Macaca mulatta: one gene and its partners. The protein of the gene in region 1 purifies or fractionates together with the protein of each later gene. This does not show direct contact. Links are inferred from orthologs where the notes say so. Each region holds a gene or a part of one and is shown on either strand. Other genes may lie near its edges.

Region 1 (5,175 bases):
GGATCTCCACCTGAGGCCTCAGACTCCAAGCTGAGCGCAGGTAAGACAGCTAGGACTGAGGGCCTGCTGGGTCCAGGAGAGGTGGAGGATGGCGACAGAGAGACCAGCAAACCCACATTTCCCCAAAGCCTGGAGGGTCTGAACATCGCTTTGAAAACAATTCCAGGCTCCCACCCCAGCCTCAAGGCCCCTTCAAAGGCAGTCCTGCTCCAGGGAAGTTCTTCAGTCTCCAGTGTCCTGGCTGGGCAAGTTCAGCGATGCTGTGGGAATTCATGGCTTTGTGAGGCGGCAGCTGCATCCACAGGGCAGCTCCCCGGCACGCCCCGCACAGCTTAGGGCAAAGGACCAGGTCACTTCTCCACAGTGCAGGGCATGGCTGCCTGCCCTCTCTGGGGTCCTGCCTATCTGTGCCCTGGCAGGGGTTAGTCAGGCAGAGTGTGACCCCAGGCACCCACCAAGGTGGGCCTGGAGCATCTGCAGCAGCGCCCCTATCTGTAGAGGGGTGAGGAGGGCACGGGGATAGGGGGTGGGCAAGACGGTGACCCTCCCTAAACCGAGGAGGGCTCAAAGTGCTGACAGTGCTGGTTTCCAGTCATTTCTCCTTCTCCTAATGGGGCCAAGGCCCCCGGCTAGAGAAGAGCTAGGGGCTCTGACGCACAAGCGGTGTGCTCAGCAGGCGAGACGCACTGGGGTGAGGAGTAAAGAGACGGAGAGGAAGCGGGGTCACCAGGACTGGCCCTGCCCTGCTGAGGGGCGGTTTGGCACTGGCAGTGAGGGCCAAGGAAAGGCACTGGGTGGGCCCACAGGCCCTGTCCCAGCAGTGGCCTGCCCGCCAGCCACCCGCTGCCTCTAGGCCAGGCCTGAGTGGCTCCTGTGCACCCACTGGGGGTGAGAATGTCTTGATTTCTTGGGTGACTCGCGTAGGATCAAGAATAAAAAAATACTTTCTGTTGAAATATGAATGGGAAAAACCCACCTTAAAAAACTAGACCTTTTAATCAGGAATGTGGAATTGAAAATGCTCCCCAAGCCTCCTTTCCACAGTGTTTGGGCAGCCCTAAGAGGGGTGCCGGGACGCTGGTGAGCCAGGGCCTGGTGAGTGAAAGGCCCTGTCTGCCCGGAGACAGGGAGCATCTGGTGGTGGCCACGCCTCCTGCAGCAGAGGGGTGGTGAGGGGGCCAGGGGACATCACAGGGGCTTCCTGGGCTTTCTCTGGAAGGCCGGTGCTCTGGTCACATCTGAGGGTCTTCCTGACAAGGGGACACAGCTGTGACACGGTGAGTATCCTGGGCTGATGGCAAACCCAGCTGGGATGGCTGAGCCACACTCACCCCCGGCCTTCAGAGCGGGGTCAGCAGATGGGCATCAGGCGAAAACATTCTGTTCCTGGTATTTGCGCCGGCGGGCACAGCGGGGGCAGCCCTTCTTCACCACAGCCTGGCAGCTCTGGTGGAAGACGGTCTTGCACTCGGCACACCTGGGGAGAGAGCAGCACACCTGCTGGTGCTGGCTGGGCTGGAGGTTGCCCTGTGGCCACGCTGGCCAGCGCTTTTGACCAGAACCCATGATACGGCTGTGACGTACTGTGTAACCCATGCACGCACACTGTACCTCTCCATTCTGGAACAGGAGATTCTCAAAACAGTGCTTACCCATATGTCACACAATGCACACTGATATTGTCTGTCCTACTACATTTTTTTATAAATGCTGCTTGAGAGTCATTAAAGATTTCTTGCCTGTATTTAAAAAACATTTACTTATTTTATTTATTTTTCAGAGTCTTGCTCTGTTGCCCAGGCTGGAGTGTAGTGGCATGAAATTGGCTCACTGCAACCTCTGCCCCCCAGATTCAAGTGATTCCCCTGCCTCAGCCTCCCAAGTAGCTGGGATTACAGGTGCCCACCACCACACCTGGCTTATTTTTGTGTTTTTAGTGGAGACGAGGTTTCATCATGTTGGCCAGGCTGGTCTCGAACTCCTGACCTCAAGGGATTCACCTGCCTCAGCCTCCCAAAGTGCTCGGATTACAGGCGTGAGCCACCACGCCCGGCCAAGATGGTATAATTTAAAAAACTCAGCCCCAGGCCCATTCAGGGCTGAATCCCGGCCAGTGGACACCGACAGAAAAAGAACTAATGTTCCCAGTTCAGTTTTCCACTCCCACATGGGTTGCAGGAAGTCTGGACAAATTTTTCCATTGAGAGGTTGCTGATAATGAGCAATAACTGGAACAAGAGTGATCATTTCAGCAACAGAGGCAGTGGCAGTGGCAGGTACCACCCACCAGGTGCCCACTTTGTGCCTGGTCTCATGCCAACAGTACAGGGCAGTAACTCATACAATCCTCCTCAACCCATGCATACACTGTGGCTCCAGCAGGCTCCACTCAGAGAGCCGGCAGCCACCTCTAGGAAGACAGATGGTTCTGTAGAGGCAGAGGAGTCCTGGGAAAGCTTGTCTTGTCTCCTGAGCTGGACCGGAGCTGGCCATGACTGCCCAGAGCATGGGCCGTCCCAAACAACTGCACCATCCCTTGGCACGGCACAAAGCCGATGTTCAATACGCTCCTGCCCATAGAACGAGGCCTGCTGCCCTGAGTGCTTGGGCCAGGCTGTGGGTGTGGGGAAGGGTGGGGCTGGGAGACAGCTGGCTGGGTGTCCCACATACCTGACTGTGGTGTCAAACTCAAAGGGGAAGATGATGTCGTGGTGCCGGCAGATCTGGCAGATGAAGCCGCGCTGGGTGCACAGGTCGCAGTGGTAGACGTGCTGGGAGGCGAATTCGATCAGGGCCTTGAGGAATCCTTCATACACCCCGTCTGCAATCTGCGGAGGGCAAGTAGGAATCCTTCATACACCCTGTCTGCGATCTGTGGGGGGCTGGTAAACTGAGGCCCCAGGCTTTTCAAGCACCTGCACTGAGGCGCCATGGCACCCTGCCTGGAGAACTTCTACCCCCAGTTTCCACGTGGGCAAGAAAAGAAAACCTCGCTGAGTCAGGCTGAGCAGTGCCAGCGTCCAGCCCGTGGGCACTGAGGTCACTCAGGGCTAATGGGACTCACAAATGAGACCCGACTCCACTGTACCCGCCCCCTGGAGAAAGGAGTATTCCAAACTCTCTTCCTGTGATCCTGGGGTTGCTGGAGTGCTTGCTTATTCCAGGGTGCTGTGGGTATCCGTCCCCGCCCAGGAAGCCAGGGCAGCAGGGCAACCCACCCTGAGCTGCAGAAAAGCTGCAGACTGCTGTCTTCAGTAAACTACAGACACCCCCCCTCCCATCTTCCCTGCTGACTTCTCCGGGAAAGAGGCCTCTCTGGAGGTCTGGGCGGGGGAAGCATGACACTCACCTGCTGGAGGTCAGCAACACTGAACCTATGCGGAGACTCCAGGAGATAATCCCTGTGGTTGAGCCTTCAAACAAAACACAAGCGATTCTTTAGAGAGGTTTCCAAGACCCGGGCCAACCTGTGTTGTTTGTTTTCATTCCCCTGGCACTGCTCACCAGGCAGACACCTGCCGCCTGGGCGGGGCAGGGGCTAGGAGCGTAATTCGGCCTGCCTGGGCTTGGGGCCTGGTCTTCAAGGTAACTAGCTGGTGGGACCTTGGGCAAGTTACTCAACCTCTCTGAACCTTGGGTTTCCCTCTCTGGGAAATGGAGTTGTCTGGATTAAGTAACTTATTTAAAGCATTTGACTTGGTGCCGAGCTCACAGTAAACACGTAATTAATCATAAGGAGGAGGATGGGTGCTGACACCTGGGACCCGGAACTGGGCTAAGAGCTTCATACGCATTCATTCATTTGATTCTCACAATAATCCTGTGAGGCTGGTACTATCACAATCCCAACTGAGAAGAGGAAATAGGTTAAATCACTTGCCTGAGGTCACACAGCTAGTAGGCGGGAGAGCTGGAGTTTGAACATAGGGGCCTGGCTCCAGAGCCTGCACCCCTGTCTACCTGGCAAATGCCTAGAGATGAAGGTTGTTGTCCTTATTGCCACCATTACATACCAGGGACAGTGCTGGGGACAGTAATGCACAGGATATGGCCTCTGCCCTCCTGTTTGGCCCCTGGTTTGGCTGAGGGACAGACATTAAAGTGTCTGGTTTCCGTGCTACACGAGAGCAACTGAGACGTGTCCTAAGTACAGCAGATCCCATTTCAGAGGTGGCCGGGGCAGCAGAGAACAAAGGCTCAGCCGCCAATGCAGCTCTAGTTTCCACTACACCAACGGGAGGGATCCAGGGGGCCCCATCCTGAGAGATGGAGAGGAAACACCTGCAGAAAGTTCCCTGGTACAAAACCTGCCTGGCCTGGCTGTGTGTGTTTGGGTGGGTACTGGCGGTGGGAGGTTACTCCAAGTCAGAGGATGCTTGGGAACCTGCCCCAGGATGCCCCAGACATCTGGGGACAGGGTGGTGCCAGCCCTGGGTCTGGGCCTCCCGGGTGCAAGCTGTGGAGCATCTGGAATGGGGGCTTGGCCTTGTCCCAGCTGGTGGCCTCAGCTGTGGTCCAGGGGAGCCCAAACCGGGGTGGAGACAGTAAGTCCCACCAAGCAGCCATATAGGCCAAGATGCCAACTGGCCCCTCAGTTTACCAAGCTGGTATCCCCAGTAAACTTCCTGCACTCTAGGAAGGGAAGCTGCCATTTGTCACCAAGAAAACATGGGACACAGCAGGCTGGGGGGACACAGGTTGGCCCTGAGCTAGCAGGAGTGTGGGCTGATCTGGATGGAGAATTAGCTTTGCCATCCGTCCTCTGACCACAGTCGTGGAAGCTCTAGGAGCCCCTGTGCCCTGGGCCCGTCACCCTCTCAGCAAGGACTTGCAACTGGCTTCTCCGCAGTGCTCAGTCAAGGCCAGAGGGGAGAGGGTGCTGGCCCAGGGGTGAGAGGCCACTTCCCCTCCTGGCCTCCAGGAAAGAAATTCTCGTGCACTGGGGCACAGCCAGGCCTACTTGGGGCCTCAGTTTCTTCACCCACACAATGAGGAGAACCCTCTTTGTCCTCTGGTGTGAGGCTGGGAAACAGACCACAGGAATCTGGAGGGCTCTCTAGGAGACAGGAAAATGAGGGGAGAGGTCAAATCTTAGCTCCTGGAACCGATGAAGTGATGGGGAAGGAGAAGGCCAGGCAAGGGCTGGAAGATTGGGGGGACATGGATGGGGGCCTG
Region 2 (6,720 bases), on another chromosome or scaffold:
TGGAGTGCAGTGACGCGATCTTGGCTCACTGCAAGCTCCACCTCCCGGGTTCACACCATTCTCCTGCCTCAGTCTCCCAAGTAGGTGGGACTACAGGTGCCCGCCACCAGGCCTGGCTAATTTTTTTTTTTTGTATTTTTAGTAGAGATGGGGTTTCACCGTGTTAGCCAAGATGGTCTTGATCTCCTGACCTCGTGATCCACCCGCTTCGGCCTCCCAAAGTGCTGGGATTACAGGCTTGAGCCGCCGCATTCTTTTATTAAAGAGATTTTTAAAAGTATACAGAATTTCTCTTTCATTACTAGTATTTACCGTGCCCATCAGAACTCCACTAATGGGCTGGGCACAGTGGCTCACGCCTGTAATACCAGCACTTTGGGAGGCCGAGGTTGGCCCATCACCTGAGGTCAGGAGTTCAAGACCAGCCTGGACAACATGGTGAAACCCCGTCTCTACTAAAAATACAAAAATTAGCCAGGTGTGGTGGTGCACATCTGTAATCCCAACTACTCAGGAGGCTGAGGCATGAGAATCGTCTGAACCCAGGAAGTGGAGGATGCAGTGAGCCGACGTCGCACCACTGCACTCCAGCCTGGGCATGAGCGTGAGACTCTGTCACAAACAAACAAACAAAAACAAAAAAAACTCCACTAATGAAAAAGGTGGGGAAAAACAATGTGTAGTTACTAATCAACAACCAAAACCACACCTCGCTGGGACCCAGAAAAGCAGCGGACCAACTAATTCTGCTAGCGGCTTGGGCAAGGGCAGCAAAGCTGCCTATCTGACTTGGTGCCGTTGGTGCCTTAACTCCTCCAGAAGCTGAGATGGAGCAGCAGAGAGGCAGAGAACACACGGATTTCCAACTGCTCCTCCCACCTCCTGCCCTCCACCACAGCCTGACAGTCTCCCGCAGGAGTAGCAGCAGCTGTGACTGCTGGGCTCCAAGATCAAGAGATACACCTGGAGAAGGCTGAGGCCACCAGAGAGGGGGCTGAAACAGTGTTTTCAGCTGAGAAAGGAGTGGCCACAGACTGCTAGAAAAGTACATGTGGCAGTTACCATGGAAACAAAGTGGCCAGATGCTGAAGAAGCACGAGTTGCCCCTCCTCATCGTGGGACCAGTTGGATGTTGGGCCCTTGATGGACAGGAGAGAAAATGGAAACCTCAATGGAGGCATCCACCACTGCTGTGTCTGGAGTTACCATGTGGGCTAAGAAACTGTCTTTGACCTCTTTCAAAGGCTGAATTCCAGAAGGCTGCTCCTCAATTATCACATTCTTCCATGTCAAAAGCCCCTGATAAGTATGGAACCTACAGAAATGTAGCTGATCGCATAGAGCATAAACTTTGTTTCTGGGCAGGAAGCTCCTCTAAACCTCTTGCTTTGTAAGAAGTAGAAGGAAGCAAACTTGCCTTAGTGATCAGTTGCGACAGCGACTGATGACCCTAAATATAATCTCCCATACTCTGCAGGAAAAAGAAATCTCAACTCAGTGATAAAATGATCTCTAGCTCCCAACACTTAACCACTGTCCTAGGCCTGATGCACCCTGAAGAAATACAGCACTGGGGATTAGGGGATGGACTTTCTCTTTTTATTTTCAGTTTCACCTCCTCAGTCTCAGCTTTCTTATTTTAACAGCCGGCCTCCTTTGTCTGGCAGAATGGATTATCTACCCCCACCATCCTTAATGTGTTTCCAGAGGCCTCTAATGAAGACCCTGAGCTTAGAAAACTCAAAACCAGTGCTTCTTTGACTCAGGTTGATTCTCTTCTATTCTTCTTTATTCAGCAGATTAGAGGCTGGGCATGGTGGCTCAGGCCTGTAATGCCAGCACTGTAGGAGGCTGAGGTGGGTGGATCACCTGAGGTCAGGAGTTTGAGACCAGCCAGGCCAACATGGTGAAACACCATCTCTACTAAAAATACAAAAATTAGCCAGGTGTGGTGGTGTGGTAGTGCATGCCTGTAGTCCCAGCTACTCAGGAGGCTGAGGCAGGAGAATCTCTTGAACCCAGGAGGCCGAGGTTGCAGTGAGGTGAGACCGCGCCACTGCACTCTAGTCTGGGTGACACAGCGAGACTCCGTCTCAAAGCAAAAAAAAAATGGAATACAAAAGAGAAGGAGAAAGCAGTAAACGGTAGCATAATTTAAGAAGCTGACCCCAGAATATATTCTGCATTCCATGTTTCTTCTATGGGGTTTAACTTCCTTTCAGCAACTTCTTCAAAGAGGCAGTTTATTCTGCAGTACACTCGTTAAGTCTCCTCTGAATACCCTAGAAAGGTTTTTCCATCAGAGCCTCTATCCAACTGGTTCCGTTCATTAGTTTAGTGGTGGCAATGACATATTCTGTACCTCCATCTTCCAACTGGGAGAGAAATCGCAGGGCAGCAATTTCAGCAAAGGTTACGCCCCCGAGGAAAAATATCAGAGTCACTCGGTTTTCTCCTGGTTGACCTAAAATTTAAACATTTCAGATTAAAAACTATTTATTACTGGTGCTCCTCTTCCCACCTCTTCAAACATTTTATCATTCACAAGAATAAACAAGTGTCTTCATCCAGACAGTTCATCTGAAACCCAGGAATACTGATTTTGATCTCAATGTTTTTTCTAACTCCTGAGATTCTCAACATAGAAGTTGAAAGCTGCTACCCCTCAGGGAATAATCCGACTCTAGTGCTTACTATATACATTAGCAACGAACAAAAGAGGTATATTTAATTCTGACTCCTAAGTGCTTTACTAAGTATTTTACAAAGCAACTGTACAATACCTGAAAACCACACTAACAGGACATAATTATCTGTAGATGCTGGACTGGGACTTACGTTTCTTCTGCAGTCCTGTGGGCAGTGGCTGTCGCTCCTCAAAGTGGGGCCCTGGGAGGATGCGGAGGACCTCCTCGATGCTCCGCCAGCCAGGTCGGGAAAGCAGCTGGGCCAGCCGCACACTGAGCGGGGCATACCCACTGTACACGTAGGATATGTCCGTGGGGTTCTGTGAGATAATTAAAGAACAAAAATCCTGTAGATACAGAGACTTAGAGCAACCTGACTGTGGCCTTTTGGGTAATCCAAAATTATTTGATTTGGATTTAAAGATAGATAAACAACCCCCACCCCTGCCATGCCCTGTTCTAATCCACCCCAGCAGAGCTCAATTTTAGCAGCCAGAGCTTCACTTTTGACTCAAATCTTGAAAAGCCACTCAAAGCAGCTCTAGGTACAGAAGATGAAAAATTACTTGGTTTGGCATGAAACTTCTTTTTTTTTTTTTTTTTTTTGAGACAGAGTCTGGCTCTGTTGCCCAGGCTGGAGTGCAGTGGTGTAATCTCGGCTCACTGCAACCTCCGCCTCCCAAGTTCAAGCAATTCTCCTGCCTCAGGCTCCCAAGGAGTTGGGATTACAGGTGTGCACCACCACTCCTGGCTCATTTTTGTATTTTTAGTAGAAATAGGGTTTCACCATGTTGGCCAGGCTGGTCTTGAACTCCCGACCTCAGGTGATCCACCTGCCTCGGCCTCCCAAAGTGTTGGGATTACGGGCCTGAGCCACTGCGTCCGGCCAGCATGAAATGTAGTGGGGGGAACTTGGCACTCCCCAGCTGAGCAATGATGTGCAGTAACCTTTGAACTCAGCAATCCTACTTTTAGGCATTAATCCTACAGAGATGCTTGCAGAACAAAAGATAATAGACCAAAGTATAAACATATTAACTGCAACACTGCATGTAATAGCAAAGACTGGAAACAACCTGAATTTCTATCAGTAGCAATCTGTTAAATCATTAAATAAGGTATAGCCTCAAAACCACTACGTAGCAATTTAGAAAAATTAAAAAGAAGGGGAAGATCACAAAAGACCCTTCAAGATCCTTTGTTAAGTGGTAGGTGGGTCAGGAGTCAGAAAGGTCAGAACAGTGAAGGCAGCTGAACTAATACGTACATGACAGACTCTAGACATTAAGGGCCTCTATTTTCCCACTGGGAAAAAACCATCCAATTTTGCTCCTGACAGAGGAGACTGTCTAGTTACGAGCTTTTGTTGCAAGAGGCAGCCTAATAAAGTCCCTTATGAAAAAACAAAAAAGACTGAAATTTAGAAACATTAGAATAAAAAATGTATAGCAAAGTGCACCCCACTTTGGAGACCAACAGTAGAGAATATGCACTCTTTATGTAAAAATGTATATGCGGCCGGGCGCGGTGGCTCAAGCCTGTAATCCCAGCACTTTGGGAGGCCGAGACGGGCGGATCACGAGGTCAGGAGTTCGAGACCATCCTGGCTAACACGGTGAAACCCCGTCTCTACTAAAAAATACAAAAAACTAGCCGGGCGAGGTGGTGGGCGCCTGTAGTCCCGGCTACTCGGGAGGCTGAGGCAGGAGAATGGCGTAAAAACCCGGGAGGCGGAGCTTGCAGTGAGCTGAGATCCGGCCACTGCACTCCACCCTGGGCGACATAGCGAGACTCCGTCTCAAAAAAAAAAAAAAAAATGTATATGCACAGAATCTTTCTGGAAGGATAGATAAAAAACTGGCCACCGTGACTGCCTCTGAGGGGAAACGGTGGAAGGAAACTCACTTGGCCCTGATGGCCCTGCTTTTGCATAGCTTTTTTTCTTTTTCTTTTTTTTTTTTTTTTTTGAGATAGAGTCTCATTCTGTTGCCCATGCTGGAGTGCAGCAGTGCAATCTCAGCTCACTGTAGCCTCAACCTCTCAGGCTTAAGGGATCCTGCCACCTCAGCCTCCTGAGTACAGTAGCTGGGACTATAGGTGCATGCTCCACCATGCCCTGATCACTTTTGTATTTTTTGGTAGAGACACGGTTTCATCATGTTGGCCAGGCTGGTCTTGAACTCCTGACCTCAAGTGATCCTCCTGCCTTGGCCTCCCAAAGTGCTGGGATTACAGGTGTGAGCCACCGCGCCCATCCATGGCTGGCTTGTTTATGAGAGCTGGACGTCTCCACTGGTTCCTCTAGACACTCTCCACCCTTCTCCGCAATGCCCTATGCCCAGAGATGGACCTGTAGGTCCCACACCAACACACTCCAATGCCTTCTCTTTGGGTCTGACCAGTGCAAAGCACCAGAGTGAACTGGAGAGTGGGCAGCAGTGTGAGGACGAGGTTGTCACTGGCTGGCTTCCTCTGCTGGAGGTTGACCGTACCCTCAGCCAGAGGCCCCTCACCCCTTACCTCAACAGATGGCCCCACCACAGCTCTTCTCTCCAGGTTCTAAGATAAGTTTCTAGAATACCCCCCTCTCCTTGCTCTTCAGGCCGCATCTGGCAAGGGCTCCCTACCACACTGCCTCTTACTGGTCTCTGCTCTTCCCACATCTTTATTTATTTAAGACAGAGTCTTACTCCCTAGCTAAGGCTGGAGTGCAGTGGCGCAAACATGGTTCACTGCAACTGCCTCCTGGGCTCAGTGATCCTCTAATCACGGCCTCTCCGACTAAAGGCTCATACCACCATTGGCCTTTTTTTTTTTTTTTTGCAGAGATAGGGTTTTGCCACGTTGCCCAGGCTGGTCTCGAACTCCTGGACTCGAGCGATCTGACACTTCAGCCTCCCAATACACTGGGATTACAGGCATGAGCCACTGAGCCTGCCCCATATCTTTTTGTTTTTGGAGAGAGAGTCTCGCTCTGTCGCCCAGGCTGGAGTGCAATGGTGCGATCTGAGCTCACTACAATCTCCGCCTCCTGGGTTCAAGCGATTCTCCTGCCTCAGCCCCCCAAGTAGCTGCGATTACAGGTGTGCACCACAATGCCGGGCTAATTTTTGTATTTTTAGTAGAGATGGGGTTTCCCATGTTGGTCAGGCTGTTCTCAAACTCCTGAGCTCAAGTGATCTGCCCGCTTTGGCCTCCCAAAGTGCTGGAATTATAGGTGTGAGCCACCGCGCCTGGCCCACATCTTTATTAAACTCTCCAGAAACTCCCCAATTTAAGAGCATTCTCTGTTTCCTTCTAGGGTTCTGATGGATACAATACATGATGCATTACTTTTTCAAAAACATTAGAAAATTGTTTTTAGAAAGCAAGGCAGATGTGTAGGTTCAGAAGCATGTGTTGTCATGTGGACGATCTAACCAGTCCCTAAGCTGAGACGAGGTGGAGAAGTGTGGCTTACTTGCTCGTTAACATCATCCATCCAGAGGCGTAATGTTTTCCGTATAGTTGGGTAATTGTTTCTGCCCCCCGTCTGCGGTTTCAGTAGGCCAGCCTTCTCCAGGTTGTGTAAGGTCAATATGTGCTCATAGCCATATGTCTGCAAGGGAAGTCATTTGGCCTTGATATAAGATCAGGAAAAGGATTTCTGCAATTTTCAAAGAAGGGCACTTCCAACAAATCAATTTGGTTTGTACCGTAGGACATGTTACCAAAGTCCAGCAATGTTAGTGGGTGGGCACAGAGGACAGGGTGGAGGGATGAAACGTGTCCTAAAACTGCTTGCCTGTTACTATAAATTCAGCTCACTGTTTCAAAGAGAAATTTAAACTTTTTTACTTTAAAGTCAGAATGTATGGACCCAATCTAAGTGAGCATCAAATAAATGATAGTATATTTTTATATGGTATATAATTAGCTCCAAAAAAGAATAAGGCATATCTACACATCCTGATAAGAAAGGTCTCCAGAATATATTAAAAAACAATAATATGCAATGTAGGATATTATTTCTATTTTTAAAAAATAGCCAAGG
Region 3 (5,936 bases), on another chromosome or scaffold:
GTTTATTCACTTATCAGTTGATGGACATTTGAGTTGTTCTTACTTTTTGGCTGTTACAAATAGCGACATTTTATATTGCCACTAGTACCTAGGAATATGTTTACTGTGAAAGGCAAAGGATCCTATTATAAATCAATTATAGCTTGGGTGTGTCTGTAGTCCTACCTACTTAAGAGGCTATGGTGGAAAGATCACTGGACCCCAGAAGTTGGAGGCTACAGTGAATGATGATTGCACCACTGCGTATCAGCCTGACAGAGCAAGACCCTGTCTCTTTAAAAAAAAAAAAAAAAAAAAAAATCAATCAATCTTACTGAAGGAACAGAAACAAGACCTAAAATAGATTCATGGGTGGAATGTTTTGTTTTTTTGAGATGGAGTTTTGCTCTTGTTGCCCAGGCTGGAGTGCAATGGTGCAATCTCAGCTCACTGCAACCTCCGCCTCCCAGGTTCAAGCAATTCTCCTGCCTCAGCATCCTACGTAGCTGGGATTACAGGTGCCCACCACCACGCCCAGCTAATTTTTTGTATTTTTAGTAGAGATGGGGTTTCACAATGTTGGCCAGGTTGGTCTCGAACTCCTGACCTCAGGTGATCCACCTGCCTCGGCCTCCCAAAGTGCTGGGATTACAGGTGTGAGCCACCGCACCCGGCCGGGCAGAATGTTTGTGTTCCTCCAAAATTCCTGTGTTGAAGCCCTAACCCTTCAGGTGGCTGTATTTGGAGTAAGGAAGGAATGAAGGTTAAATGAGGTTGCAGGGTGGGGTCCTGATCTGAGAGAATTCGTGTCCTTTCAAGAAGAGGTGACACCACAGACACCTTACTCATATGTCCTCTCTCTGTGCACACAGCAGAAAGGGCATGGGAGGACACAGTGAGAAGACAGCAGTCTGTGAGCCCAGAAGAGCGCCCTCACCAGAAACAAAATGTGCCAGCATCTTGCTCATGGACTTCCAGCCTTCAGAACTGTGAGAAAACAAAATGTCTGTTGTTGGACCCACCCATGTTGTGGGGTTTTGTTAACGCAGCCTGAGCAGACTAATGCAACAGTTGCAACAAAACTGCAATCAATGGGGAAAAAACAGTGGGCTTGAAGAAAAAAATTCCAATCAAAATCTCAACAGAGTTTTATTTGGGGTGTGGAAGGTAAGAGAGGAAAATCATGGAACTGAAACAAAATTATTAAAAAATAATGTGGCAGGCAGGGCAGGGTGGCTCATGCCTGTAATCCCAGCACTTTGGGAGGCTGAGGTGGGCGGATCACAACATGAGTTTGAGACCAGCCTGGCCAATATGGTGAAACCCTATCTCTACTAAAAAATACCAAAATTAGCCAAGCGTTGTGGCAGATGTCTGTAATCCCAGCTACTTGGGAGGCTGAGGCAGGAGATTCACTTGAACCCGGGAGGCGGAGGTTGCAGTGAGCTGAGATCACGCCATTGCATTCCAGCCTGGGCAACAGAGCAAGACTCTACCTCAAAAAAAAAAAAAAAAAAAGAATGTGGCAAGAGGAAACTTGCCTTATCAGGCAGTGAAATCAAGACAGTCCAGATAAGGGAACATGGCATAGACATCACCAGTACAGACTGGAGAGACCAGAAACAGATCCCAGCACATATGAGCATTTAGCACAGGCCACGGTCTATTCAGGGAGGGAAACGGCTTATGTAACATAGCCGAATGATTTCAAACAACTGGCTGAGCTCTCTGAGAGAAAAGGCAAGTCTCTCTTTCCTGCCATAAGCCAAAACAAATTCCAGCTGAATTAGAGAAAAATCTGATGTAGACACAGGAAACACAGAAACTTAAAATGACATACCCAAATAAAAAATTACTTTTTTCCTATGTTCAAAGGACTTAAAAATACCACAGAGTTGAAAAAGTCACTTGAGATGCAAGTAGAATTAACTTCAATTGACTAGCAGCTCATGAGAACTGAGAGAGGCCCAACCATGTGCTATGTGCTAGCTGTGTGCAGCAGAGAAAATCCAAATGGCTAAGCCCCAGGAAGAGGGACTCAGAGGGAACAGTAGCCACGATGGTGGCAATTTATACACCCAAAGATTGGCAATGTCAGCAGAGTGACAAGTGACACCTATTGCTTGCTGGCAAGGAGGTAGAACAAAGCAAGCCCACGCTGCTGAAATGTTATTCCCCTTGGGGAAAGCAACCTGGCACCCTAACTTATAATAAAACAGACCCTCCAATGTAACAATCTAACTCCTTAGGGGCTAGCTCTAAAAATAAAAGCATAAAGACAACAGGGACAGTAGTGATGGAAGAGAAAAACTCAGACGGTGATGCCAGGCAACAGGGAAACAGGTGGGAAACACTATCCTACACGATTTGGATTTCCATTCCCTTATATGAACATTAAGAAAAACACAACCGTTTATTATTTGTGGGTGAGGGTGGCCAAGTCTGCATCTTGGTCTTTTCCTTACCACTTGAGGGCTCTCCTGGCATTCTGGGTGGAACAATTTCCTCACTGAGTAGGTCTGTCCCTTTCATTCTGGAACACTTAGTGCAGACCCCACTCATGCCAGAATTTCCCTGGTCCTTGGAGCAACCATTCCAAACAACTCTCTGTCCTGCTGAAAGCCATTACCTTCATTCTGCCGGCTTCCTGGAGTCAGCAGAATCTGCCTTGCCCTTCACAGCCACTATGTGCTTCAAGTGCTCTATGCATCCCCCCAAACCTGTCACACCTCTGACCACCCCCAGACCCTGTCTGATGAGGCCTCGTGATCTGCCTTAATCACCACTGCCCCTAACAGAGTTGTACATCAAAACAGACTTTCGGCCGGGCACGGTGGCTCAAGCCTGTAATCCCAGCACTTTGGGAGGCCGAGACGGGCGGATCATGAGGTCAGGAGATCGAGACCATCCTGGCTAATACGGTGAAACCCCGTCTCTACTAAAAAATACAAAAAACTAGCCGGGCGAAGTGGCGGGTGCCTGTAGTCCCAGCTACTCGGGAGGCTGAGGCAGGAGAATGGCGTGAACCCGAGAGGAGGAGCTTGCAGTGAGCTGAGATCCGGCCACTGCACTCCAGCCTGGGTGACAGAGCAAGACTCCGTCTCAAACAAAACAAAACAAAACAAAACAAAACAAAACAAAACAAAAAAAAAAGACTTTCAACTCGCATGAGTGGTTGTATCTAATCACAGAAACAGTAAGTAAGAAATTCTAGGTATTGTATTCCTTGAATAGTTTTCCTACATTTTCTTCCTTGTTTACTTAACTGTTCCTAAGGAAAAAAGTTACCTGTCAGTATGTGAGAGCTGAAAAAGTTGGTCTCATTTAATCTTCATAATCACCCTGCAAAAGCAGGTATTCCCATTTTTCAGGTGAGGGGGTAGAAGTTCGGATATAATTTTATTTTTAATTTTTTTTTTTGAGAAAGAGTCTCACTCTGTCACCCAGGCTGGAGTACAGTGGTGCAATCTTGGCTCACTGCAACCTCTGCCGCCTGGGTTCAAGCAATTCTCCTGCCTCAGCCTCCTGAGTAGCTGGGATTACTGGCAACCCCCACCAGGCCTGGCTAATTTTCTTTTTATTTTTTAGTGGAGATGGGGTTTCACCATGTTGGCCAGGCTGGTCTCAAACTCCTGACCTCAAGTGATCGGCCCGCCTTGGCCTCCCAAACTGCTAGGATTATAGACGTGAGCCACCATGCCTGGCCATAATATATATATTTTTAAGCCCAAACTAGATATAATGATTGGTAGGCAGCAGAGCTGGGATTTGTATTCAAGTTAAGTTCCTTCTTAAATAGAGCAGCAATCTGATCAGGGGTCTCCCAGTGACCTGATCTCCTAATCGCAGCCAAGAAAATAAGAACAAGCCTAGTAAAAGAAGGGCAGTCTCAGTCTTCCCAGCCTCTACATCTTTTAGGTTATTTCCCCAAAGTGGGGTTTCTGGAAGCTTAAGCAGAGCATGTCCTAACCTTCCCAGATGAACACTTAGGGTATTCTGACTACATAGAAAAGAGTGGGTTAGGGAAGAAGATTAAGGGCAGGAGGTCAGGCAGGGACTGGGTCAGTGGTCAGGCATCACAAGAGTGGGCAGGTCAGCTGTGGGAGACCCACCTGCTTAAGTGCATTCCGTGCAATCGTCTGGAACGCCTGCTCCACGTTGATGGCCTCCTTGGCACTGGTCTCAAAGTAGGGAATGTTGTTTTTGCTGTAGCACCAGGCCTGTGCCCGCTTTGTGGCCACCTGAAAGGAGAAGTAGGGTGCACACAGGCTCATGATAGAAGCAGCTAGCACTGACTCCATCCTCCCCAGGAAGTGTCATGGTCCCTCGTCTACAGGTGGTACAGGTGAGGACACAGATGTGGGGAAAGAGGGTGTTGGAAGAGACCAGTAGACCCGTCCAAACTCGCCCTGCTGGCTATGCTCAGGATAGCTAGGATTCAGCTAGAGAGCTCAAAGCCTGTCTCAGTCTACAGCTCATACCTTCTGACCCTCAGTTATACTTAAAAGCCATTTGTGAATGGAGTAAGAAGCCAGTCTGGGAAGAAATGAAGAGTGTTTACTGGGACCTCAGAGATCCCAGGACAGGAAATGCCCAGCAGCTTGGTCTTAAGGTTTAGAGTCCCTTTACCATTACTGCTAGTGTGATGTCACCCATGCCACTCTCACATTCTCATTCCTTCCCCAACCCCTAGCCCATTTTCAGCCAAGAGATAAGGACTAAGTCACTTAGGAAGGGGAGGAAAAAAGATCCATGGTCAGAAATAAACGTAGTCGTAATTAATCAAAGAGTCTATGTTTCCAACAGAAATGATATTTGAAACTATAACTATAGTACAGCAATTTCACTCAAAGCCCAAAGCAATATTCTGCACACATGGAGATCCAAGCACGGCCTGGAGGTACTGGGAGGGCACTACTGAGAATGACAAAACTGAATTCCCTCCTTCAAAGTGCAGAAAGGGAACTGAAGTTGAGATAGCCAAGACAATGGCGTAAAGTCACAGCCAGCTGGGAGCAGGATGGGGACTTAACCCAGGTCACCTGGGTCCCAGTCCTTAAAGGCAGTTGGCCTGAAGGGCTGGCATAGGGTGATGAAGACTCCCACCAGCACCTCCTAGAGCCATGTGAGCTTAGCAGAGAACCCTCCAAATTCACAAGGCCCCTTGGGAGCAAGTGTCTGTGACAATATCTATCATCGTTGGTACTTACTTGTCTGTTTTCGAGGTCAATCTTGTTTCCCAACACAACAAAGGGGAAGTTTTCAGGATCTCGGGGACTGGCCTGGATGAGAAACTCATCTCTCCAGCTATCTAGGGTTTTGAATGTGTTGGGGGCAGTCACATCAAATACCAGAACACAGCAGTCTGCACCTCTGTAGAAGGCCACACCAAGAGACTGGAACCGTTCCTGTCCTGCTGTGTCCCATATCTGTGAGAGACAAAACATTTATTCCTCGGGAGAGTGCTAGGCAGAGCACAAGGAGCATGTATGCAGGGGATGCCAGAAGAAATGGGCTAGATTGTGAGGTCACCCACAAAGACAAATGACACCAGACTTCAGGAAGCAAATTTCAGCACCAGAGTATCCGAAACAATCCTCACAAATATTGTATGTAAGTATGTGTCTGTCTATAAGCAGGTGACACGAGTCCAATCTCCAGGGCGCTAGAAATTTCTTATATCTTGATCCAAGTAGTGGTCACATTTAGGTAAGTGTGTAAAATTTGAACTGTAAATAAAACTTAGGTACTCTGGGAACTTTCTGAGAGCAATGGAAATACAGGGAAGTGAGGTGATGACTCACAAATGATACAGTTCCATTTATGCATTTTACTGTATGAAAAGTTTGCCTAGCCAGGCACAGTGGCTAACCTGAGGTCAGGAGTTTGAGACCAGCCTGACCAACATGGAGAAACCCTGTCTCAACTAAAAATACAAAATTAGTCAGGCGTGGTGG
Region 4 (6,688 bases), on another chromosome or scaffold:
CTCTGAGCTGTTTTATATCACAATAACTCAGTGCAGATGTCACTATTTTGGTTCTTCTGAAAATGAAGGGGGAGGGGAGCAATCATGAGAGAAACACCACCACTCAGGAAAGATAATGTGGAGACGTTTAGTTTTGTGTTGCTAATTCTGGAGATCACTGGCATTCATGATACATGATACCAAGAAAAAAAATTATGTCAAGTTTTCTAAAAAGTTCAATAGAACAGTTTATTTTCTCCTTTTTTTTTTTTTTTTTCTTTTTGAGATGGAGTCTCCCTCTTGTCACCCAGGCTGAATGAAGTGCAATGGCACAATCTCGGCTCACTGCAACCTCTGCCTACTGGGTTCTCTAAGTGATTCTCCTGCCTCAGCCTGCCGAGTAGCTGTGATTATAGGCGCCCACCACCACTGCCTGGCTAATTTTTTTGTATTTTTAGTAGCAACAGGGTTTCACCATGTTGGCCAGTCTGGTCTCGAACTCCTGACCTCAGGTGATCCACCCACCTTGGCTTCCCAAAGCGCTGGGATTACAGGCCTGAGCCACCGCACCGCACCCAGCCCAGCCCAATTTTCTCCATTTTTATACACTTTTAGCTTTTTAAAAAATGATATAATAAAGCCCTACTACCGCCATCAGATTTCAATGGCTTCCTACTGTCAAATGCAAAAAAAAAACAAAAAACAAAAAACAAAAAACAGAGAAAAGCTTAACCATTTTTAATCTATAAAAGATAAGATTAGGTAAAATTACTAGCTTTCTTTAAAAAAAAAGAACTTAACAATTTGTAAATGTTTGTTTCTTTCGGCCATTTACAATAGACTGCTGGGGGGGATTTTTTGTTTTGTTTTGTTTTGAAACAGGGTCTTGCTCTGTTGTCCAGGCTGGAGTGCAGTGACACAATCATGGCTCACTGCTACCTCAACTTCCTTGACTCAAGCAATCCTCCCACCTCAGCCTCCCAAGTAGCTGGGACTACAGGCACACACCACCATGCCTCGCTAATTTTTGTAATTTTTGCAGAGACAAGATTTTGCTATGTTGCCCAGGCTTGTCTTGAACTCCTGGGCTCAAACAATCGCCCCACTTCGGCCTCCCAGAGCGCTGGGATTACAGGGATGGGCCATTGTGCCTGGCCCACCACTGGTCTTTTTAAGAAAGATATTCACACCATTGGAGAGGAGAATGCCCATTCCAACTATATATTAGGCTGTTAAAGTATCAAAGGTGGAATGATGGCTTGAGGGAAAATCATTAAAATGAAAAGGGCTAATGCTACTTTACAAACTAAAAAATAACAATTTAGATTGAGGTTCCTACATATATTTTTAAAAGGTAGGATATTCTAATGAAAAGTCATGAGCTTTGGAGACAGAGGACTGGAGATTTATATTATAGATATAAGCCTGAGCACGTTACTCAAGTTGCCTGAATTTCAATTTGCTTATCAGTAAAAGTCAATCATTTAACACATTTTATTAAGTACCAAGCAATATTCTAGGTATTGGACATACAACAGTGAATAAATCCTTGTCATGATGTTCCAAGCTCTGTGGTGAGAGGTACACAGCAATATACAGGGGGAAAAAAAACAACAAATTTTAAAATACAGTATGTCAAACGGTGATGCACATTATAGAGAAAAATAATGCAGGAATGTTTCAAAGCATGGTGAGGGAAGGTCGCAATGGAAAAGAACACTTGGACAAAGACACGAAGGAAATGAGGAATTAAGCCTGTAAACGTCAGCGTTCCTCAAAAAGAAACAGCATGAGCAAAGTCCCTGAGGTAGGACCTGCCTGGCTTTTTGAAGAATAAGAAAGCCAGTACAGTCGATGCAGAATCACAGAAGGGTAGTTGGAAAAACGAGGTCAAGAAAAGGTGGCTAGAGGCAGCTGGGTCAAGGTCCTGTGGGGCAACCAGGCTACTGTAATGGCTGTGGCTTTTCCTCTGAATAAGATTAGAAGCCACTAGAAAGTCTGGAACATCAAAGGTGTTTCACCCATGTATAAGAATAAACATTTACGGCCGGGCGCGGTGGCTCAAGCCTGTAATCCCAGCACTTTGGGAGGCCGAGACGGGCGGATCACGAGGTCAGGAGATCGAGACCATCCTGGCTAACACAATGAAACCCCGTCTCTACTAAAAATACAAAAAAATTAGCCGGGCAAGGTGGCGGGCGCCTGTAGTCCCAGCTACTCGGGAGGCTGAGGCAGGAGAATGGCGTAAACCCGGGAGGCGGAGCTTGCAGTGAGCCGAGATAGCGCCACTGCACTCCAGCCTGGGCGACAGAGCGAGACTCCGTCTCAAAAAAAAAAAAAAAAAAAAAGAATAAACATTTACCTCACAGAATTCTTTTAGAAGACCAAATGCAATATGGAAGGGTCTTAAAACTAGAAAATAATGTACAAATGTGAAACATTATTATATCCCTAACTTTGTATGCGTCATTTTTACATCCAACAACTTTGTCAAATTCTTCTTCGGCACTAAACAGTGGTAAATATTTCACAGGTTTTTTTCAAGGGAAGAAAAAACACTGGTTTTTCTAAGAGCAACTCTCTCCATTTTTATTATACTATATCTAAGAACATATGAAACTCAGTTTTTTGCTTTTAAATCAAACCATGAAACAAACATTTCAACATGAAATAGATGCACAATGTGAAAAACAATCTCGCCCTTATTCAAACAAGCAATGGCAGTCATGAAATGATACGTTCTTATGGAGCGTTTTCCTTTTAATTGCCAGAATGGAAATGTGAGGTTCTAGTGTTAGATAAGAGATTTTGTTATCTTGTTATCACAAGGACCAGCCAAACCAAATTTCATCCTAGTGAAATGTCTCAATTATTGGCATATGTAAAACATATACAGAGCAAATTTTCACTATGAAGTAAAAACAAATGAAGTATGTTGAAAATAGTAAAAATTATTGAACTAGGTAAATGTCTTACGACACTAAACAGCCCATCAAGTCACTGTTTAGAGACAATCACTGCTAACAGCCCTGTTAACTTGTGAGGAAAAACAGTATCCAACTGAAATAACACTGGAAAAGGAAACTCAGGTTATCTCCCCCAAGTTCTAGCCTCTCTTTTGGTCTGCTTCACTTTTTTGTCTTTTTTATTTTACTTCGTCTTTTCATAAAACGTGGGATTACCACTACCGCTATATGAAAATAATCCGTATTCCCATCACTAATTTCTACGCTAAACTCCAGTGCCACATTGCCAGTTGTTGACTGGATACTGCCAGCCACAAATAATCCCATTTAACTTTTACTGAGCCCAATAGTTGTAAGCACTCTAACTTTGTGTATAAACGCTCTCCATCTTAAACCACACTCTGAGGACGGTCCTATTATTATCCCCATCTTACACTAGAAAGTTAAATCAGTAGCTCAAAGTAACACATTGAGTAAGAAAAGGAACCAGCACTTGGACCCCAGGCATTTTTGCTCCAGAACCGATGCACTTAATCCCTGCTGCATCGCAACAGTGCTCCAGTTCTGTACCTAAATCCGATACAAAACAAAACTCATCGTCTACTCTCTCCTAGTTCTTACTGTCCTACTTCAAGTGGAAAGCAACGTAAATTTCAGTCACCTGGCCTCTCTTCCGCCTCCCACAGGCAGTCAGTCCCTGGGGTAGCCTGGCCTGCCTTCATGCCAAAATTTCACTGGGCAAAGGGCACAGGGATGGGGCCCGAGGAAAGGCCGCCTCCCGAAGGCGGGGGTGTGTCGGTGCGCTTTCCCCAGGTGCCCTCCCGGGGCTGGCATCCTCTCTGCTCTCCGAAAGCAACTTTCACCGTCCCATCCCGCCCTGCCGCGGGCCTGCGTTGCCCTCTTCCAGCAGCTCCGCACCTCCACCCACTCCACTCCACCCTCCCCAAACAGCCCACCCTAGTCTCCATATCCCTGTGCCCTCAACTACCAACTGCACCCTTTACCTGCTCCTCTGCTTCCGCCATGGCGCGACCGGAGAATCACATGACACACCCGGAAATGAGAGGAAACCAGACCCTGGGCCCGGGGCCTTCTGGGAAATGTAGTTTTAGCTTCATCTGAGCCTGGAAATCTCTTCTAGGGGACGGACCTCTTGGGGCTCATTTCTGCTGCCAATTCTCCAAACTCAATGGAGTTCTGCTTTGAAGAATCTGAACATAACCATTGCTAATACTATAGCTTATTTTATTGTTGTTCTTGTTTCTGTAGTTATTCTAGTGTTTATTAAGGACTTAACTATATCACGCCCTGGGTTTATAGCTTTGCATAAATTATCTCATTTAATCCTCACAGCAATTCCTACCATCATCACCATTTATAGGGGAGAATACCGTAGCTCAGAGGTCATGCAGCTATTAAGAAGCAGAACTAGTAACAATTCAGCCCTGTCTGATGCCAAAGTCTCTGTGATTGCCAAATGCTGCTTACTCTAAAAGTGTTCTTATCCTTTTTTCTCTCTCTCTCTTTTTTAAGTACATTCAGTGAATATAAAGCAGACTTTGCAGTGGAGAGCCAGAGAAAATTTATACACCAACAAATAATATTATTATTTTTGCTTGCTACTTTAAGTTGTCTTCTCCTGTCATATGAACATTGATTTTAAAAAAGAATCTCTATTGTTTAATAAATTAAATGTTAAACTTTTGTTGAGGATATTCAATAGGTAAATGTTCAAGTGGAGACACAATATGAAGTTGTCTTTGGTCCAAATCTGCACAACCACTGTATTCCAGCCTTCAGAATGAGTGATCCTCTCTCCATGTTTCTGAACATTATGAATTCTTCTTCTTAATCCTCAGGAATCTGCAGCACCTTATCCAAAGACAGACATTTAAAAATTTCCATTCACTGGAGTAGCTAGTGACCAGTAGAGGGCATCGCAAATGGCAGCATGTGGTGGTTGCCTCAGTACATTTTTGACTCCCTGTGCCTCATTGAGTCTGACCCAGTAGGAAGTCATGGACTCAGTACTCTGTCTGTAGCTTGCTCAACCCATGATTCCTCAGTTGCCCAGAAGCCAAGGTGACATCATCTCTGAGACACCTATCTTCTCCCCAGGGCCTAAACAGCCTTACCTCCATCTTCTTCCTCCAAGCCTTGCTGGGGTTCCTCTTCCAGTGGGCTAATCACTCAGCCAACAGGATAGACCACCCTGGGGCATTTAAATGTCTATAAGCAGCCAGGTGTAGTGGCTTTCACCTGTAATCCCAGCACTTTGGGAGGTCAAGGCAGTCAGATTTCATGAACTCAAGAGTTTGAGACCAACCTGGACAACATGGCAAAACCCTGTCTCTGCAAAAAATACCAAAAGTTAGTCGGGCATAATGGTGTGTGCCTGTAGTCCCGGCTACTCAGGAGACTGAGGTGGGGGTTAAGGCTGCAGTGAGCCTTGATGGTGCCACTCCAGCCTGGGCAATGAAGTGAGACCCTATCTGAAAAAAAAAGAAAAAGAAAAAAGAAATCCATAAGCAATCACCCAATGTCCTAAGTATAAACCTAGGGAAAGTATAAACCTAACCCAAGAGTTTCTGAAATATCTTACAAAGCAGTCCAGGGTCAAACATTGCTCATGGTGAACTTCAGATCCCAGAAAGACTTTAATACAGACCAAAGAGACTGTGGAAGCTCTCAGTCCAGTATCCATGGGAAAGAGAGATAAAATGAGATCTTCTACTTTTCTGATTTTCCTCACAAACTCCAATTTTCTCTTTCCCATTATGAGTGACAGGACTACAGCCTCTCCAACTTGGCAATCTCCTCTTCTATGGTGAACAGATGAGATTGGGATGAAGAAGGAAAACAGAGGATTATTGCCACTGTCTTACCCACAAGGGCATTTTTGTTTTATGGTTCCATTTTATTTCAGTGAGAAGTCAAGCCGCCCAAGCAAGCAAAGCTGAAGGCCATTCACTCTGGGCCTTCCTGGCCTTTCTACTTTTCCGGAATGAGAATGTTTATTCTCTTTCTCTTTCTCAAAAAGGGTGTTATGGGTCTTATTAAAGATATAGCCAAAGTTTACAGATTTTTCTCTGCTCATTTAACCATAGAAACTCTCAATTCCCCAAGCTTGTTCCGCATTCAGTATACTCTGTTGATTACAATAAAATATTATCAGCCTCTTTCCTTTTGGAGAGACTGGAAAAGGGAAGAGACACAGGTATGGAAAGCTGGATTAGAGGAAGAAACCTACTGTGAACTAGCAGGTTCATGATGGGCCAGTGGACAGGATGAAATTCACATGTGAACTCCAAACCCCATTTTCTCATGTGAAGTGAGAATTTGAGACTCTCTTATCTAGGTGGTCTTGTACTCTCCAACTACTCTAAGTGTAGTCCAAAGACTACCTAGGAGCTTGTTAAAAATGAAGAATTTGGGGCCCTTTGAGAGACTTGTTTAACCACAATCTAGATTTTAATAATATCCCTCAGTCATATGCATATACTTTAAAGTTTGAGGAGTACTCAGCCTGTCACTGAATCTGTGTCAAATCACCTGCTTTTTTTCTTGCACATAATCAATCCACCCTCTCCCAGCTTCAAGATATGGAGGTAAAGGGCTGGGCGCAGTGACTCACGCCTGTAATCCCAGCACTCTGGGAGGCCAAGGCAGGTGGATCCCCTGAGGTCAAGAGATTGAGACCATCCTGGTCAACATAGTGAAACCCCCTCTCTACTAAAAATACA
Region 5 (6,496 bases), on another chromosome or scaffold:
AGAGGTTGTTTTGAGAAAAAAGGGCCCTTCTGAGTTAAGGAGCCATAATTCTGTGAGTGATCAAAAGAAAGAAAAAAGAAACTGTTACAGTATGATTCAGATCATTTAAAAAAGCAAAATCAAGTGCAATTTTGTTTACAAATGGTGTATATTAAAGATTTTTCTATTTCAGATGTACTTTAAAGAGAAATATTAGCTTAACTCTTTTGACATCTGCTATTGTGACACATCCCATTGCTGGCAATGTGGTGCACACTCCAAAACTTTTAACTACTGTTTTGTAAGCCTCCAAGGGTGGCATTGCAGGGTCCTAGGCAATGTTTTGCTTGCCTTTATGCAGAGAGGTGCTCCAAGTGCTGTGATTGAGCACCATGCTAGAGGAACTGTAATGCTTCAGAAGTGGTAGCTTATACAAAGGAAACAGGTCCTGCTGGCTTAATTTAAACAGTTATTGCATGAAGTAATGTGGAGGCCCTGGACTGCTGCTCATTCTTTAGGATGGACTGTTCTGGTATCTGGTATTGGTTTAGAGCCTGTTTATAAGGGACATCACAAGGTGATGGGATTCATTTGAAGCACTCTATTTCTGTTTTAATGGTTTTATCCAATTTTGCCTTCCCAAGATTTTTGTTCTACATAAAAAGTTCATGCCACTTTTTAATATAAAAAAATTTAACAAAATTAATGTATTTTTCTCATTTTTTTCAAACTTTTTCTGAAGACCATTTCTCTCAAACTTATGAAACATTTCCTTCCATGGCTTTTATTCTAGATTATCTTGTTTTCTGTTAAAACCAATGACCACATGACCACAATCTTCACTAACTCATACTGCAGTGAAAGTGTTAACCCTTAGGTAGTTTCTCTACAACTCTTTGCTATGGTGATTTAAAAAAAAGTTTCCTGGGAAGTATCTCTGAGGAACTGCAGTCTGAAGAACTGACTATATTCTCATGCTAATTCATTAGCCAAAGGCTGGTGGTATTGTTGCATGCTGCTATTGCATATTAAAACTTAGCAGATGAATAATAGTTGTAATGCAGCAAGATAGTTGGTCAAATTATTTTTTTAGGCTGGTTTGATGTTGACTTGAGACTAGGAAAAAAAAACCCAAAAATCCCTTGTGTTAAGCAGGAGTGTATAGTACAAATTCTATAGCTTGGGCCTTGGTAATTCTGCTTACAGCTCTCTGTATTACTGGGAGTGGATATAGTGTGTCATTTCTTAGGACAGGTTCAGAAGAAATTTATAGCTTTACACTAATCTGTAAAACAATATAAACCTTAGGGTTTTGGGCCTGAACGAAAAGGTACTAGACCTTCCAGCACAACAGCTGGTAATTCTAAATTTTTAAGAAGGTGATCAGCTTCTATGGTGAAAATCAACTGTAACACAGGATTTGTTTAGCAATTTTTGTGTTTATGACTACTTGAAAGTGTACTTTCACTTGATTATCAGAACAGCATTTGTTAAGATGGGACAAGTATTCCTAGTTTACATATGAAGAAATTGATACTGTGTAAAAATAAAATGACCAGGACCAGTTTTTTTGGCTTCATATCATAGACTTAGTCTTTTTCTTTTACATTTTTGCTTTAAACCCAAATGCTTAATTTTTTGACCTATCTGATGTTTTCCTAGGGGGAAATTACCAGATATAGATCATTCTTGCAGCTCAAACTAAGTTTTGTTGTTTTTTAAGTCTTCAAGGGGAATACTAAGGTAACCTCAGACAGTACAGGTCCCGGGTCCTGTAGGAGGAAGAGCCATGACACCTTCCTAAAAGGAATATTAGGATGTAAGACACAACTTGGGAAAGTTGAATTGGTAGGAATATGATCATCAAATTAAAAGGAGGCTTATTTCACTCACTTTCAAGAGTTAGTGAATCATCTGTTGCCTAAACTCTTGCTACTCAAAATGTGATCCAGGGACGAGCAACATCTGGGAGATTTTTGATGCTCAATTGAGGGTCTTACTCTGGTCCTACTGAATCAAAAGAGGCATTTTAACACTGTCTCTAGGTGATTTGTATGCACATTAAATTTGAAAAGCATTGGCCTCAAATGGTTCTCAGGGTGATTTTGCCTTCCAGAGGATATACAGCAAAGAGACATTTTTATACCTCTGTAGGGAAGATACTGGCATCTGGTGGGTGGAGGTTAAGGATACTGTTAAACACCTTACATTGCACAGAACATGCCCCCTCCCCAACAAGAAATTATCCTGTCCTAAAGGTGGGTAGTGCTACCACTGAACAACCCTAGCCTAAGATGGTGGTTCTCAAGCTTTTAAATGCATGGACTCACCTTGGGGTTTATTAAAACATAGATTACTGTTCCTTCCAGAGTTTCAGATTCAGTAGAACTGGAATGGGCCTGAAACTTTGCATTTCTAACAAGTTCACAGGTGCTGCTGCTACTGCTGTTGTTGCTGGTCTAGAACAACCATGAAAGCATAAAGGTAAGGTGCTTGTACTAATTGGGATATAATGGTAATACTAAAGCTACCATTTATTGAGAGCTTAGTGTGTGTCAGGTGTTGCTAAGCGCTCACGATACTGGATCACAGGTATTTACACAAATCATTTTGCAGATCAGGAAAGTATGGCATCGAAATATTAAATTTTCTAAATCACAGCGAATTTCCTAATTGGTAGATCTCCGTCTGAGGTCTGACGCCAAAGGCCGAGTTTTTAACCATCACACCCATTGCCTAAAACAGTTCTAAGATTAACAGTTTGTTCCTTCTATGGTAAGCCCATGGCTACTCGGGACAGAGTGGCTCTGGGTAAAGAGTGACAATGGCAACTCAGCAACAAGTCAATTCCTTGAGAGTGCACCGGGAGGAAGGGGCGGGACTTCGGCTGCGGAAGGGGCGGGCCTAATCAGCAGGAAGTCCGGGGTTGACGATGGCTGTGTTGTTGAAGGGCCTGTAGCTGGGGGGCATCCTGGCCGGATCCCGGCCTACTCTTAGCCCAGCCTCGTTCCGGACCCCAACCCGGCCCGGAACACTGTGGGCGAGACGGCGGTGGCGACTCTCCCCTTGCCGCCATGCACGACGCTTTCGAGCCAGTGCCGATCCTAGAAAAGCTGCCTCTTCAAATCGACTGTCTCGCTGCCTGGGGTGAGCCGAGGGGCTGCGGGGCCGAGGCGGAGTCAGCACGGGAGCGGCCCGGATCTTTTCTGAGGCCGGGGAAGTGGACAGGCGTTCATCCGTGTGGGCTTCGGTTGGATGCTACCCGAGAGGGGCTTGGGATGAGAGAAAGCAGAGAGATGACCACCGGCTGTAGACATCGATGTCTATGGGGCTGCTTGGGTGATCCCAGTGATCCAGTCATTTAGGGGAGTTCCCCTTGCTCTTGCTCCCTGTGCAGAGTGAGAGGATGAGCTTTCCTTTTTAATTGTGCTCAGCTTTAGCCCGTTTTGATTCCCAAGAAGTCTTCATTTTAGAGGGCCAAAGCAGTAAGAAGTTCTTAGCCTGCCAGGGGCTTGAAGTTGTCCAGATGTTTGTGTTGTTTTCTAGATGAAAGTCAACCCTGGTTTTGGGGGCATAGAACAAGTTAACACCATATGCTATTTTTTCCCTATAGTGATCACTCGTTCACTTCTCATTCCTGTAGGGAACTCATGTAGTTAGCTAACCTTTGAGTCTAGCCAAGTGGTTGATTACCTTATATCCCAAGTGTCCAAGTTACCTAACTCTGTAGGCGGAAGAGTTTCCAGACTGTCATGAAACCTAATCCATAAAAACTAGCATAGTCCTTTTGGGATTGACTAGTGCAGAAGGCAGGGACAGACATCTCTTGTGTGCTCTGAAATACAAATGAAGGTTTCAGGGATAACGGTGAACATTGTGCTCTTATCTATGAGTGACTGGTTTGATACCAGCCCCCAAAGACCAAGGAGATCATTTCTAACTTTCCTCCTAATGTTTAGGTCCTAGAAATCAAGGACCATAAAAAGATGATTCAGATCCCTTAATCAGATCTTATACTGGGCTACATAGGTAACCATGATGGGCCTCATGGAATCTTGATGTGTCTGATATTATATGCATCAGCTGTTCACAGTGTCACCGAGTCATCCTTGCAGAGTTCTTCATGACTTCTTCTGTAGGGTCCTTTCACGAAGAATTTTCATGTTAATGTGCACCCTTCCTCCTTTAGCAGCTCTGGGTCTCTTTAAAATCACACCTCCACAGTAAGCAGTTCTAGTCCTTTGGGTTAAGAGGAGAATCCTATTTCCTCCAGACATCTCAAGAAAACCAATTTCTGTCATTAAATGCTCTCATTAAACATTTAAATAGAGGAGGAGAAAGTTTTTAAATGAAAGACGTGACGCTGCATGAAGGGATTAATTCCCCCATTGCTTCATCAGATATACGTATTAGGTGCCTACATGGGCCATTCTCTTTGCTAGGGACAGTAATACAATGATGAATAAGAAACGGTGCCTGTGCTCCTAGGACACACATTGGGGGGACAAAGACATGTGAACAGATTATGATACTAGAGACATATGCTGCCTATTATTGCAACATGGATGAGGGGGTACCCAACTCAGCTAAGGACATGTTTCTGAAAGGGATTAAGGATTAATGCAGCTGTTGCCACACTTGACTTAGCCCGTCAGAATCCTTGACTCCGATCTCCTGTTGGACCATTAGCACATAGTGCTCCTAGACTCTCAGTAACTCCACTTTGTCACAGTAAAAATTCCTTGCACCTGTGGTTTTCAGGAACACAGTTTTGAAATGATAGGTAGCTTTTGGCCTTCCTTGATCACCCACCAAACAGGAGAAATGCTCTTTGCTTCCTAAGGCGCTTTGGTACACATTAGGTTACAAGAGGCCATTAACTGCCTCCTGCTTCAAAAGTGCTTTATTTCCAGATTTGAGCAGCAGTAATTATTGCTGTTTCTAGTCATTACCCCTTTTTAACTACATTGTGTCTTTGGATGCAAAGTTCGTCCAGGAATTTCCAGAGGCAGGTCACACAGGGCCAAATAATATTTAAGGTGTAAATGTCTTAGAGACAACATACTCTGTCTCCTAGGAAATAGAAATCAGGGGGGCTGGGCGTGGTGGCGCATGCCTGTAATCCCAGCACTTTGGGAGGCCAAGGCAGGCGGATCACGAGGTCAGGAGATCGAGACCATCCTGGCTAACATGGTGAAACCCTGTCTCTACTAAAAATACAAAAAATTAGCTGGGCGTGGTGGCAGACGCCTGTAGTCCCAGCTACTTGGGAGGCTGAGGCAGGAGAATGGCGTGAACCCAGGAGGCGGAGCTTGCAGTGAGCTGAGATCACACCACTGCACTCCAGCCTGGGCAACAGAGCGAGACTCCGTCTCAAAAAAAAAAAGGGAAATCAGGGGAACATGATGAGGGTGATTTCTTTCTAAACTCCAAATATGTATAATCCTGCTGCCTTTTCAGCATCTTCATTTGGATGTCTCATAGCATAACCAAAACAGTTCTTGATTCCTCTCCCCTCAAACATGCCTGTCCTCCTGTATCTTACATCTCAGCAAGTGGCATTTCTATTTACCTCTTTGACTAAGGCCAAAAGCTTTGGAATCGTTCCTGACTTCTTTCATTCTCTTTTACACTATATCCCATCTATCAGCAAATCTTGTGTGTTCTACCCCTAGAATAAATCTGAAATCCAGTCATTTCTGTCTTGATAATTACTACTCTTGAAGGCACCATCATCTGTCACCTGAATTACTGTAGTAGTCTTCTCATTGACCACCCTGTATTTGCCATTGTGCCATTTTCAGTTTTTTATCTACCAGGTAGAGTGAAACTTTGAAAACCTAAATCTGATTCCATCCTCGGCTCAAAACCCTCCCATGGTATTACATCACAACTAGAATAAGTTCCAAAGTCTTTACCCTGTCTGGCAACATCTGACATGCGGAGGCCCTGGTAACTTCCCTGTTTCCTGTGCACTTACCTCTCACGCCTTTCTGGTACCAGTCCCACACAGCCTTCCTTGTTCCATCAGTGCACAAAGCACATACCCACCTCAGGGCCTTTACACTTGCTGCTTCCTCGGCCTGCCACTCACTTACCTTTGTATATATGGTTCATTCCTCATTTCACTCAGTTCTCTGCTGAAATGTCACCCAAATCAGCGGAACCTTCCCTACGTATCCTATATGAAAGAGATTGCCACATCCACCACTGTGCTGTTTTCTTAGCCTTATCTTCTAATCATGGGTCACCATCTACTGTTGTTTTATGTATTTAATTATTATCGCATCTCTCACTCCACATTAGAATATAAGTTCCCTCAGGGCAGGAGCTTTGTTTTCTACATTGCTGTATCCGGAGTACCTAAAACGTTTCCTGACTCATGTTGATATGAATAGTAATAGCTTGCAGTTGTTAAATGCTAATCTGTATTAGGCTTTTATAAAATAAGACTCCATTTTACAGAAGAAGGACCTGAGGCTTAGATAATTTAAGAAATTTTTCCAAGGTCACATGT

Evidence for each region.
Region 2: the proteins of PLEKHM1 (region 1) and VPS33A purify together in Homo sapiens (affinity purification with western blotting; 3 studies listed by BioGRID and IntAct, with this or other methods). This does not show direct contact. The link is inferred for Macaca mulatta from reciprocal best matches to the Homo sapiens genes PLEKHM1 and VPS33A.
Region 3: the proteins of PLEKHM1 (region 1) and RAB7A purify together in Homo sapiens (affinity purification with western blotting; 5 studies listed by BioGRID and IntAct, with this or other methods). This does not show direct contact. The link is inferred for Macaca mulatta from reciprocal best matches to the Homo sapiens genes PLEKHM1 and RAB7A.
Region 4: the proteins of PLEKHM1 (region 1) and VPS41 purify together in Homo sapiens (affinity purification with western blotting; 4 studies listed by BioGRID and IntAct, with this or other methods). This does not show direct contact. The link is inferred for Macaca mulatta from reciprocal best matches to the Homo sapiens genes PLEKHM1 and VPS41.
Region 5: the proteins of PLEKHM1 (region 1) and VPS39 purify together in Homo sapiens (co-immunoprecipitation; 3 studies listed by BioGRID and IntAct, with this or other methods). This does not show direct contact. The link is inferred for Macaca mulatta from reciprocal best matches to the Homo sapiens genes PLEKHM1 and VPS39.

What each region holds. Positions count from the first base shown.
Region 1 is NC_133421.1:69,810,609-69,815,783, forward strand, and holds part of PLEKHM1 (pleckstrin homology domain-containing family M member 1), read right to left. Parts: intron 3,414-5,175; coding exon 3,350-3,413; intron 2,829-3,349; coding exon 2,671-2,828; intron 1,478-2,670; coding exon 1,366-1,477; 3' UTR 1-1,365. UniProt on the Homo sapiens protein: Acts as a multivalent adapter protein that regulates Rab7-dependent and HOPS complex-dependent fusion events in the endolysosomal system and couples autophagic and the endocytic trafficking pathways.
Region 2 is NC_133416.1:129,608,810-129,615,529, forward strand, and holds the end of VPS33A (vacuolar protein sorting-associated protein 33A), read right to left. Parts: intron 6,286-6,720; coding exon 6,148-6,285; intron 3,008-6,147; coding exon 2,839-3,007; intron 2,465-2,838; coding exon 2,283-2,464; 3' UTR 1,998-2,282; downstream 1-1,997.
Region 3 is NC_133407.1:155,145,942-155,151,877, forward strand, and holds part of RAB7A (ras-related protein Rab-7a), read right to left. Parts: intron 5,409-5,936; coding exon 5,190-5,408; intron 4,221-5,189; coding exon 4,092-4,220; intron 1-4,091.
Region 4 is NC_133408.1:89,464,870-89,471,557, reverse strand, and holds the start of VPS41 (vacuolar protein sorting-associated protein 41 homolog), read right to left. Parts: upstream 3,988-6,688; 5' UTR 3,971-3,987; coding exon 3,950-3,970; intron 1-3,949. UniProt on the Homo sapiens protein: Plays a role in vesicle-mediated protein trafficking to lysosomal compartments including the endocytic membrane transport and autophagic pathways. Acts as a component of the HOPS endosomal tethering complex.
Region 5 is NC_133412.1:19,585,850-19,592,345, reverse strand, and holds the start of VPS39 (vam6/Vps39-like protein), read left to right. Parts: upstream 1-2,899; 5' UTR 2,900-3,053; coding exon 3,054-3,126; intron 3,127-6,496. UniProt on the Homo sapiens protein: Regulator of TGF-beta/activin signaling, inhibiting SMAD3- and activating SMAD2-dependent transcription.